3 linked regions of the Canis lupus familiaris genome follow. The main gene of each other region encodes a partner of the protein of the gene in region 2 in a complex. Links are inferred from orthologs where the notes say so. Each region holds a gene or a part of one and is shown on either strand. Other genes may lie near its edges.

What was found.
Region 1: VPS51 (region 2) and VPS52 share a complex: the UniProt entries of both Homo sapiens proteins name them as parts of the endosome-associated retrograde protein (EARP) complex. The link is inferred for Canis lupus familiaris from reciprocal best matches to the Homo sapiens genes VPS51 and VPS52.
Region 3: the proteins of VPS51 (region 2) and STX6 are in contact, whole or in part, in a crystal structure (PDB 4J2C), measured with the Homo sapiens proteins. The link is inferred for Canis lupus familiaris from reciprocal best matches to the Homo sapiens genes VPS51 and STX6. Residues at the interface, in NP_037397.2 of Homo sapiens: Ala33, His34, Met36, Leu37, Leu39, Tyr40, Tyr41, Gly42, Leu43; in NP_005810.1 of Homo sapiens: Met3, Glu4, Asp5, Pro6, Phe7, Val9, Val10, Glu13, Trp59, Asp60, Asp63, Leu64, Glu66, Thr67, Ile70, Val71, Phe78, Arg88.

Annotation. Positions count from the first base shown.
Region 1 is NC_049233.1:2,864,978-2,868,698, reverse strand, and holds the start of VPS52 (vacuolar protein sorting-associated protein 52 homolog), read left to right. Parts: upstream 1-799; 5' UTR 800-1,071; coding exon 1,072-1,161; intron 1,162-1,996; coding exon 1,997-2,081; intron 2,082-2,215; coding exon 2,216-2,268; intron 2,269-2,451; coding exon 2,452-2,527; intron 2,528-2,717; coding exon 2,718-2,785; intron 2,786-3,084; coding exon 3,085-3,260; intron 3,261-3,653; coding exon 3,654-3,721. Other genes in the region: RPS18 (40S ribosomal protein S18), read right to left, coding at 87-185, 626-628. UniProt on the Homo sapiens protein: Acts as a component of the GARP complex that is involved in retrograde transport from early and late endosomes to the trans-Golgi network (TGN).
Region 2 is NC_049239.1:52,609,445-52,613,192, reverse strand, and holds the start of VPS51 (vacuolar protein sorting-associated protein 51 homolog), read left to right. Parts: upstream 1-1,348; 5' UTR 1,349-1,436; coding exon 1,437-1,661; intron 1,662-2,158; coding exon 2,159-2,288; intron 2,289-3,748. UniProt on the Homo sapiens protein: Acts as a component of the GARP complex that is involved in retrograde transport from early and late endosomes to the trans-Golgi network (TGN).
Region 3 is NC_049228.1:14,328,775-14,332,422, reverse strand, and holds part of STX6 (syntaxin-6), read left to right. Parts: coding exon 1-12; intron 13-2,430; coding exon 2,431-2,567; 3' UTR 2,568-3,648. UniProt on the Homo sapiens protein: SNARE promoting movement of transport vesicles to target membranes. Targets endosomes to the trans-Golgi network, and may therefore function in retrograde trafficking.

The sequences.
Region 1 (3,721 bases), on a different chromosome or scaffold from region 2:
ATCTGGTTGGGACATGTCTCCTGGACCCTTCCTCACTTACAGCTATCCTGTCTCATTTACAGGCTCCGTTCCTTACCCTACCTTACCTTAATTGCTGTGATGGCAAAGGCTATTTTCCGCCGCCCATCGATATTGGTGTTAAGTACTCGCAAAATGTGCTGGAACTTCTCAGGGATCACTAGAGACTGGCAGAGACAGGGGGAGAAACAGGACACCGTCAACCACCATCAAACAGTAACGTCAAGAGGAACGTCCGGGTTGTCACACCGGGAGCAACAACCCTCCCCCCTTCAGTCCCGCTCGCAAAACCTTAAGTGTTCAAGCTCGGGAAAACGCAACCTCTGGGAGGGGGCAAGTCTTCTGCCCGTTCCCAAAAGTACACTGAGAGGCGGAGACCTCAGGTCCCCATTCACGCCCAAGCCTTTTCGCCGGTTTCGAGTGACTCTTCCTCTGGCCTACTCCACAGAACTGGAAGTCCTCAGTCATTCCTTCCCAGGGGTGCGCTCCAAAGATTCACACAGAAAGTTGCTAACCCCTAAAACAGGGCGTTTTCTGATCCCTAACAGCAGACTTTCCGTGTCCCGGTTCCGATGTCGCCGGATCCCCGCACGAAATCCACTCTTACCATGGCAGCAGCCTCTGCAGCGGCGTGCGGGCCTCCCGTGGAAGAGAGAACGGAAGTGACATACTAGGCTTATATAGCTATCAGCGGAAGAGGCGGAGCGATCACGCAGGAGCGCTTCCGGAAGCCGCTGGTGCCAGAACTAATTCAACTATGAGAATCTCTCTTCTTTACCAGAACTTCCGGTGCGGCCTCTCTTTACATGTTCGTAAAGTCCTTAAGAGGGAGAGCAGCAAAGGTTCCGGGGTGCGATTGTGCTTCAGATATCCAGTTCCCATTTGCAGTTGGGTCAAGTGGTTAGGGCTGAAAGGGGAAGGCTGGAGTCCAACAACTTAATTCAAATATCTGGGAACGATTTCGCTCTCTGCAAGACCCTCTAGGATTTGTAGGTCCACCCCAGGGACGGACCTACGGCGACTGGACAGCTGCCGGAAGTGAGGCTACGCAGAATGGCAGCTGCTGCGACCATGGCGGCGGCTGCGCGAGAGCTGCTGCTGAGAGCCGGGACCTCGGATATGGAGGAGGAGGAGGGCCCGCTGGTGCGGACGTGGGGCTCTTTCTCTCCGGAGTCTTGTCCGGGGGTCCTCGCGTCAGAAGGGCCTGGGCTGGGTTTAGGCAGAAGAGTGGGCGAGCGGCTGTTAACGGTGATGCTCCCTGTGTGTTTTTCCGTATCCGTCCTTGGAGTCGGGTCTGAGTCTGCCCTGGAGTCAGAATGGCCGACTCAGGTGCCAGTGGCAGAATTTCAGTTAACTTCCAGATCTGAGGGCAGAATACAGCGGCAGTATAGTGTAAAGGTTAAGAACGTGACTATGGTCAGATCGCCTGGGTTCTAATTCCAGCTTTGCCTCTTGCACGCTGTGTGTCGTTGGGCGGGTTAATCAGTTTCTCTGTGTTATACTTTCCCCACGTATAAGGTGAAGGAAATGATAAGACTTCACCGTAGAAATTGTTGGTTATGATTAGATGAATGAATGTATGAAAAATGGCACCTGGCCCGCAGGTAAACACTGTTAGCTGACATTTCTAGAAGGGCAGGTGATCCCCACAGGGATTGTGATAGAACACCTAAGATAGCAGGAGTCTGGGGATCCTACACTCAGCTGTAAGTTTAGCCCTGTCCTCTGCAACTCCTCCTTTACTCTTGTGGTGACTTTTGAGTCTTTTTGTTATATTCCCTACCTAGGAGCCCCAAATAGCAGATTGGGGACAGTGTGAGACTTTTGGAATTTTTTGACCCAGTGCCCATGGCTTCCCAATAAAAACCCAGCCCAGCCCCACCTTCCCCAAACCTTGAAGGTCTGTGGATTATCCCGTTATATTTGTTCTCTCTCTCTCTCTTACTGTGCCCTTTCCTGTTGACTTGTCCCTCTCCAGGGGGGTGGCCCTGGTCTTCAGGAGCCATTGCCACTTGGAGAATTGGACATCTCCTCTGATGAATTTATTCTGGATGAAGTGGATGGTAAGTGATGGCATGAGGTGGATGCAAACTGCTTGTGATCCAAGAGGTATGGTGCTGGAAGTAATAAGGTGGGGAATGGTGTACAGATGTTCGTTTGCGGGAGCTGGACCCTTATGATAAATTTCTATTTCCAGTTCACATTCAGGCAAATCTGGAGGATGAGTTAGTAAAGGAAGCTCTTAAAACGGTGAGGCTTTCTGCTGTACTGATTTATCCCTCCTCTTACCCTCCCCTCAAAGAGGAAAAAAAAGGACAGTCTCTCACTCTTACAACATCACCCTGGTGTCTCACCTTCTAGTCCTTTATTGATTCTTTCTAGGGTCTCTTCACTGCCACTTCCTCTTAACCTGTTGTGTTAATGTTCCCCTAGGGTGTGGATCTCCGTCACTATTCAAAGCAGGTTGAGCTGGAACTACAGCAGATTGAGCAGAAATCCATTCGAGATTGTATCCTCCAGTAGAGAAAAAGGGTGATGTTATTAAAATAGAGATTTTGCGGAGCATGGTGCATGCAGCCCAGCAGGGGCTGACATCTTCTCATGGCAGTTTCTGTCATCTCTGGGAAAAATGGGAATAGTCCCACAGGTCTGAGAATCTCCAGCTTTATGGTGAGGCCCCTTGACTTTTTGTGGATTAGATATCCAGGAGAGTGAGAACATAGCGTCTCTCCACAACCAGATCACAGCCTGCGATGCTGTTCTTGAGGTTAGTAACCATGACCTGTGATCCCTCTTAACCCTGAACCAGATCATGGTCTGGTGTTGTTCTTTAAGTCATCATCCTCAGGTGGGGATAGTTAGATTCACGTTCAGGATGACCTTAGCAGACCTTTTTGTTGCTACTGCCATAACTAATGTTATTTGCCAGTGACCTTTTGGGTACTTCTTACCTCATCACCTACCTTCGAGGACTGATACTGAAGACTTTACCAATAAACTTAGGTGGCCCATTTGTCCCTTGCCAACCCTTTGGTGCTCCAACAACATCTTCTGTCCTCCCCCCAGCGCATGGAGCAGATGTTGGGAGCTTTTCAGAGTGACCTCAGCTCTATTAGCTCTGAGATCCGGACACTGCAGGAACAGTCAGGAGCCATGAATATTCGGCTTCGAAACCGCCAGGCAGTTCGGGGAAAACTTGGGGAACTTGTCGATGGTCTGATAGTGCCCTCTGCTCTGATCATGTAAGTTGCCATTTTGAAGAGTTACAATGTCTATAGCAGGTAGATGGTCTAGGATGACCTACCACATGGGTCTCCTGGCCTCAGCTCTTCAAGCACCTTCCAGAAACTGATGGGTGGTTGACAACTCAACCTTGATGCATGCTTTAGGCATCAAAGATTAGGAATATCCAGAGTCAGGCATTTAGTTGGGAGGTTTAGTTGGGAGGTTTAAGGCTTTATGGACGTGGGATTGGGGGAGGTTCCAGGAACAGGAGACTTTGTACACGTATCCTGACTATGTGACTTAGCGTGTGAAGGGAGAGGTGACAGGCTGGATGTAAGGAATATAGTTTGGGACCTACTGATGTCTGGGTCTCCCTCCTATAACCCCTTCCACCTGTCCCTGCTACCCAGGGCAATTCTGGAGGCACCAGTGACAGAGCCTAGGTTCCTGGAGCAGCTGCAGGAACTGGATGCCAAGG
Region 2 (3,748 bases):
CTATTTTTTAAACAGCCTCTAAACATCCTTCTTAACATAGATGAAATCTTTCAACACAGATTTCAGCAGTCAGCCAACTATTCTTCATGGTAAATGTTTTAGGTGTCAGCCATAAGGTCTCTGTTGCAACTACTCAACACTTCTGTTGTAGTGCAAAAGCAGGCACAGATAATATGTAAACAAATGTGCATGGCTGTGTTCAAATAAAACTATAGACACTGGAATATTTCATATAATTTTCATTTGATTTTATGAAAATCATCTTTTAAATTGAGATAGACATATTCCAATATTTTTAAGGGTACAAGGTAATGATTTGGTATTTGTATATATTTCAAAATGATCACAAGGAAGTCTAACATCTGTCACTATACAAATTATTAATGTTACAAATTATTTTTTCTCCTGATGAGCACTTTTAAGATCTACTCTGATTATATGAATTTTACATAATTTTCACATCATGAAATGCCATTCTTATTTTTTAACCATTTAAAAATGAAAACAAACAACAACAACAAAAAAACCAAACACACCAGTCTTAGCTCACAGGCCAAATGAAAACACGTGGTGGGATGTGTTTGGCCTGCCGCACCCCAGCCAAAGAATCTTTAAACACGGTGGTTTCCATTCCAACACCCCCCACCCCGCCCCGCCCAGCCGCCAGCCCATCACAAGTAATGTTTCAAGGACCATGTCGATAAAGTCGTTTTCTCTATTAAAACTCATCGTATCTATACTTGAACCTCATTACCTGTCCTCTTAAGCACTGCGCCTTGGTGAACAATTAATTGCATTTTGTTGAAATCGGAAACCTGAGAACAACCCTCATCATCTGCACCCAGCCCCTCACCCCCCCCCCCCCCAGCACATCCCACGGGTCGCTGAAGATCTGCCAAGTCGGTCTTCTAAGCAAGTATCTTAAAGTGCTTGGGGACTTTTTTTTTTTTTTTTTCCCTTAAAGAGGCTAGGACTGGGGGAGCCCAGGGTCTGAAGGCAGTTCTGACCCGTGTCAGAGGACGGGCGGGGAAACTGCTAGAGGCCCCGCCCGCACTGTGCGCGCATCTAACCTCGTAGCTCCCCCGCAGCCTCTTGTGAAGTCTGCACCCGTATAGTAGGAATGGGGGACATATTCCGGGGGCCCCTGCCTGCGGGGGTGCGGGGTTGGGAGCCAGGACCCGCCTTCCTTCTGGGAGGGAAGCACCAGACGAGTTCTTCTCAATCTGCTCGGGAGGCTGCGGGAACCCAGGGCTCTCCCGGAACCTCTTCCGCTCAGGGAGGAAAGGTAGGGGGAACGCTAGTCTCGAAGGACCCAGGGTTGCAGGGGGACCTTTTAGCTGAAGGACTGCCTCGTTTCAACAAGAACTTTATGGCTCCCGGAAGTGCCTCCTCCCAGTTCTTTCCCAGCCTCACACCCGTGGGCTGCAGTTGGAGTGATGGCGGCTGCAGCCGCTGGACCTGGCCCGGGGTCTGGAACTGGGGACTCTCCGGAGGGGCCCGAGGCGGAGGCCCCGGAGCGTCGGCGGAAGGCGCACGGGATGCTGAAGATTTACTACGGTCTCTCGGAGGGGGAGAGCGCGGGGCGCCCCGCAGGGTCGGACCCCCTGGACCCGACGGATCTCAACGGGGCACACTTCGACCCGGAAGTGTACCTGGACAAGGTGTGTGTTTGTGTGTTGGGGAGAACCAGGCCCCGGACACATCGCACCCCCCAGATCATGCCTTCGACTTTGCTGCGGGGGTGAGGGACGCAGGGGCTCGTAAAAACCAGATGACCCTAGGGCAGGAAGCAGGGGCCGAGCTGGAGTCTAAGGGGGCGTGGGCAGATTTGGACGGGCCGGAGCAGGTGCGGGGTGCTGATGTCCTGGGCTGATGTTCTGATAGGCCGGGGCGTGGGGCGTGGGGCGTGGGGCGTGGCCCAGGCGTTGACAGGCTTAGGGGTGGGCGGTGGCTGAATCTGAGCGTTTCAAAGGCTGACAAACCCCAAATAGAGTCGAATCTAGTAACTCCTGACCTATGGCACTGATAGGCTCTTTGTCTAGTATCTCTGCCAGGAGTGGGATGAGAGCTTTCTTGCACCCAAAGCCTACCAGGTAGGGGCAGGCCTGAGGGACATGAATGCCCCTGCCCTGAGCACTACCACTTGGATTTCCTCCAGCTGCGTCGGGAATGCCCCCTGGCCCAGCTGATGGACAGTGAGACAGACATGGTGCGACAGATCCGGGCTCTGGACAGCGACATGCAGACCCTGGTCTATGAGAACTACAACAAGTTCATCTCAGCCACAGGTGATTCCCGCTGGGACACACCCATCACAGTCCCGCCTGCCTGTTGGTCTTGTGTTGGGGAGTCGGGGGAGGAGACCCAGATTCTATTTTTTTTTTTTTAAATTTTTATTTATTTATGATAGTCACAGAGAGAGAAAGAGAGAGAGGCAGAGAGACATAGGCAGAGGGAGAAGCAGGCTCCATGCACCGGGAGCCCGATGTGGGATTCGATCCGGGGTCTCCAGGATCGCGCCCTGGGCCAAAGGCAGGCGCCAAACCGCTGCGCCACCCAGGGATCCCGAGACCCAGATTCTAGTCCCTCCCTGACATTTATCCACTCCCACCTCTCAGAGCTTTTGTGGTCAAATGATGGTAGCTGCTCTCAGAGGGTTATTCTGAGGGTCAAAGGGGAGAAAAAAACAAAATGAAAACAATTTAAAGGTTTTATTTGTTTATGCATGAGAGACACACAGAGGCAGAGACATAGGCAGAGGGAAAAGCAGGTTCCCTGGGGGAGCCCTATGTGGAACTCGATCCCAGGACCCCAGGATCACAACCTGAGCTGAAGGCAGACACTCAATCACTGAGCCACCCAGGCATCCCAACAAAATGAAACCTTAAACTGAAATGGGTTTATCTGAACCACTTAGAATCCCTGACACTATCGATGTCTCAGTAAGGGTTAGTTTCTCTGATTAGTGGTAGCTTTCTTCTCTTGCCCAGGTCTATCTTGAGGGTGGGCTTGTCTCTGTCTCTTTCTCTCTCTCGCTCCTTTCCTTCCTCTATCCCTTTCCCCCTTTTAAATTAAGCAAAGAGGGGGATCCTTGGGTGGCTCAGTGGTTTAGCGCCTGCCTTTGGCCTAAGGCGTCATCTGGGAGTCCTGGGATCGAGTCCCGCGTCAGACTCCTGGCATGGAGCCTGCTTCTCCCTCTGCCTGTGTCTCTGTCTCTCTCTCTCTGTCTCTATGTCTATCATGAATAAATAAATAAAATCTTAAAAAAAAATTAAGCAAAGAGACACAATATATGACATTAAGGGACACAGAGATCATGAAAAGGGTTTTTTTTTTTCCTTCTCCTCCTGCCTCCTTTATTCTCTGTCCAGGACAGTGCTAGACAGGGTTCAGCTATCATTCACACTAACTACTGTCTTATGTTGGTGAAATGCACTACTCAGACTTTTTTGTGATAATTTTGGACTCGTGTGTACATAGTTCTAGAGGCAGATCTCGAATGTCTACTGGTGGTCCATGAGAATGTTGGGTGAACCTTTGTGAGGCTCATTCTGACATCTCTTACTCTACTAGTGTCACAAGGTTGGGTGTAGCCATTGTCCTTTTATCTGATTTGAAACAGGTTCAGTGAGTAGGCACCTCTTTATTTGCTAATACCAGCATCAACCAGCAAGAAATCATAATTCCTAGGGGCGTCTGGGTGGCTCATTCAGTTAAGAGTCCATCTCTTGATTTCCGTTCAGGTCAT
Region 3 (3,648 bases), on a different chromosome or scaffold from region 2:
ACATGACCAGTGGTATGTATGGCATTTAAACCTTAAGAATTCCCACTTAATTCTAGAAACACGGTCTGTAGGATTCTCATAGGTGTGACCCCTCAGATCTTTCCCATGACACATTTCTGGTCCTGCTTTCTGGTCAGAGAAGGACACTAGTGTGCATGGGCCTCATCTGCCACTGTGGCCTTCACCTGAGATGTGGGCTTTGTGTTCTCCCATCCCATGAGGCTGGTGGTGGTGAGTAGCTTTTCTCCTGGCGGATCAACTCTCTTTGCAATTACAAAATCCTCTTATTTTTTCTATTTCCTTGCAAGAACAGGGAACTTTTTATAAAACAGTAATTAAGAAGCCAGTTACTGTTTCTCCCGGACTGGCTTTCTTTTATTGAGAAACTCCCACCATTTCTTTCTTTTTCTTTTTCTTTTTTCTTTTTTTTAAAGATTTATTTATTTATTTATTCATGAGAGGCACAGAGAGAGAGAGAGAGAGAGAGGCAGAGACACAGGCAGAGGGAGAAGCAGGCTCCACGAGAGAGAGAGAGAGGCAGAGACACAGGCAGAGGGAGAAGCAGGCTCCACGCAGGGAGCCCGATGTGGGACTCGATCCCGGGTCTCCAGGATCAGGCCCTGGGCTGAAGGCGGCACTAAACTGCTGAGCCACCGGGGCTGCCCCACTCCTACCATTTCAAAATAAGATGGCCTTGCAGATCTAATTTAAATGGTTTTCCTTTAAATCCGTAGTGGAATACTCCAGCGGATTTGCCCTGAGATGGGGATGAAGAAGTAACAGTTTTCAAATCAGTCACTATATAGGAAGATATGTTCCAATGACTCGTTTTTGTTTTGTTTTGTTTTGTTTTTATTGCAACAACCCACTTCCCCTAGTACATTAGAAATAATATATTTTAAATCAAAGAAAATCCAGTATCTCCTTTTTTCTTTAGTTGGTGGGGGTGCTTGGTGAAGGGAGAAAGGAACTAAACTTGAGGTGATGTAGGTGTTCTTGAACCAGAGCACCCAGCACCCCACTGGAACCTCCCGTTTCTTGACGCCTCGTTCTTTGGGTTTCCTCTCATCAAGTCTGTGTTGCAGGGTCTAATAGTTCAACCTTTTGAGCTGAGACTTCAATACAAATGTATATTTGCTTTCCAACAAGTCAATTCATAGTCAAGTTCTAGAACAGTTGTCTGGGGCTCAGCTTCTTATCTGTAAGGGAAAAAAAAGTAGGCTGATGCCTGCCTCTCAAGATCATTGCGAAGATTAAATGAAATAATAGTAATTAGTGTACAGATGTTTAACAGTGTCTCCCATATATTACTACTTAGTAAATGTTTGGTTTTTTAAAAAAATACAAAGCAGAATATGGCCCTCCAGGGCAAAGGACCTGTTATATCCAAAATAGAGGGAGGCTCGGAGCCAGACTTTTAGTTCCTTCTTTCTCTCCAGGGACAGATAACTTGATGCTGTAGCAAGTCATTGCCTAAAAGCAGGCACCAGCTTAGTTCATCTTTCACACGCTTCAGAGAAAGGTTTACAAAACCTTCTTCCTTCTTCCTCTCTCTACTCTTCCACCTTCAGCCCTCTACTTTGAAAAAGAAAGATTAATGAAGTATTATATAACCAGTTTAAACACGAGGCCTCTCACCAGTGTATGTATTACTCACAAAGTCAAGTAGCTACTTCAGCACCAGTTTTGTTTGGGGAAGAGCAAAGAACAAAGATGCACTGTGTCTTTGTTTCTCAGCATTCCGGGTATGAATAATTTAGAAAAGTACTTGCATTGTGATAAGCCGTTCAGTGTGTATAAATAGCACTGAGCCTTGCTTATGCTTTATTCTCCTTTAGCCTAAAAGAAAAGTTTAGGGAGCAGAGTAGGGACTTCAGTTACATTTGTTTAAGAAGAAGAGCCAGGAAACCAAGCATTCAGCCTGGAAGACCCTTCAGTTTGGACAGCTTGCTTGTGGTTTTCATTTTAATCTTTGCTCACTCGCAAAAGAAAGATTGTGTGAGGGTTCCCGCTCCGTGGTGCTGGCTTCAATTTGGCAACAAGGCAATTGGTATTTGTCTCTGTTCTCCTCCATCACTTTTGGGCAAGTTCACCACCTTTTAATCTGTGCCTAAAGTATATTAAGTACACACGGCAGTTGGATTAGGCGTTAAGTGAGCACACATGCTGAATGATCTTGAAGAGCCAGGATCTGGTTCCTTCCTCCCTTCACCAACCACCCCCACCAACTAAAGAAAAAAGGAGGTACTGGATTTTCTTTGATTTAGAGCCAGAACACTTGCCCTCCCCGTGGCTGGCTGCTCCACAGCAGAGGTCAGCCAAGATGCCACACCTGCCTTTGTGAGTGACCCAAGTAAAGTTTATTCTTTTGAGTGGATACAGGGGTTTTCTTCCCTCACTTTCCAAAATTCTGTTATCTTTTCTCTCTAGGGCAGAAAAATATACTGGAAGGGGAAAGAAACCTGCCATTAGAATTCTCTTTGTTCCTGTCTGACTTTTTGAGGCAGGTCTTGAACATGCAAAACTGGTTAGGCTTTTCCCTTGAGAGCACAGAAGCCTTTGGGTAGTACTGACACCTTCTGGGGAGAAGTCAGCTGGGGTACCAGCTCCCAGAGGTTACGTGGTTCATGCTCTATCACAGCAGCTTAGCACTTCGGAGGAAAGTGGCTTTAAAAGAGTGTTCCTGGGTTGTGCTGGCCTGTGTGACCCAACTTCTTGATGAAAAACCCCCATTTAATGGAGTTGTGGAAGAAGTGACTGGAGGTGGGAGGGGATTGGGTAGAGGCTGATGGAAAGCCAAAAAGTGGACAATTGGTTCAATATTGGGTTTAAGAATGCAGGACAGGGGGAGGGGCAGGGATCTATATGAGGTTGGGGGGTGCTCAGGAAGCAATTACCTTGACTGTTTTGTCTTGGAGGAATATCGACTAATCATTTTATTTCCTTTAAAGATTTTATTATTTCTTTATTTGACAGAACGTGCGCACTCACCAAGCAGGGGAGGGGCAGGGAGAGGGAGAAGCAGGCTCCCTGCTTAGCAGGGAGCCTGATAGGGGCTTGATCCCAGGACCCTGAGATCATGACCTGAGCTGAAGGCAGACACTTAACCAACTAAGCCACCCAGGTGCCCCTTGACTAATCATTTTAATGAGAGTGTTTTTAATTTATCGTAAACATTTTTAAATATATGAAAAAATGCTCGATACTCAAGTTTTCTTGGCCAGTGAAGTGACAGTTAAACAGATTAAAAATATTATCTGGGGTGCTTGGGTGGCTCAGTCGCTTAAGCATCTGCGTTCAGCTCAGGTCATGATCTCAGGGTCCTGGGATCGAGCCCCGCATCTTCTCCCTCTCCCACTCCCTTTGCTTGTGCTCTCTCTCTGTCAAATAAATGAATAAAATCTAATATATATATATATATATATAATCTGAGTAGGTTGATTCTGCCTCCCATGCCCATTGGACGAGTCCTTGTTCAGGTACGAAACCAACAGACTTGGGATCTTTGCCCTTATCACACTTAACTGAGTTTCTAGCATGTCTGAAGTAGAATAAAGTGATCATGACTAAGAAGGTACTTGCTTTCCTTATTATCAGTTGGTGGCAATCTATTGGCCAGTTCTAAGATTTTGCTATCCATGACATTTA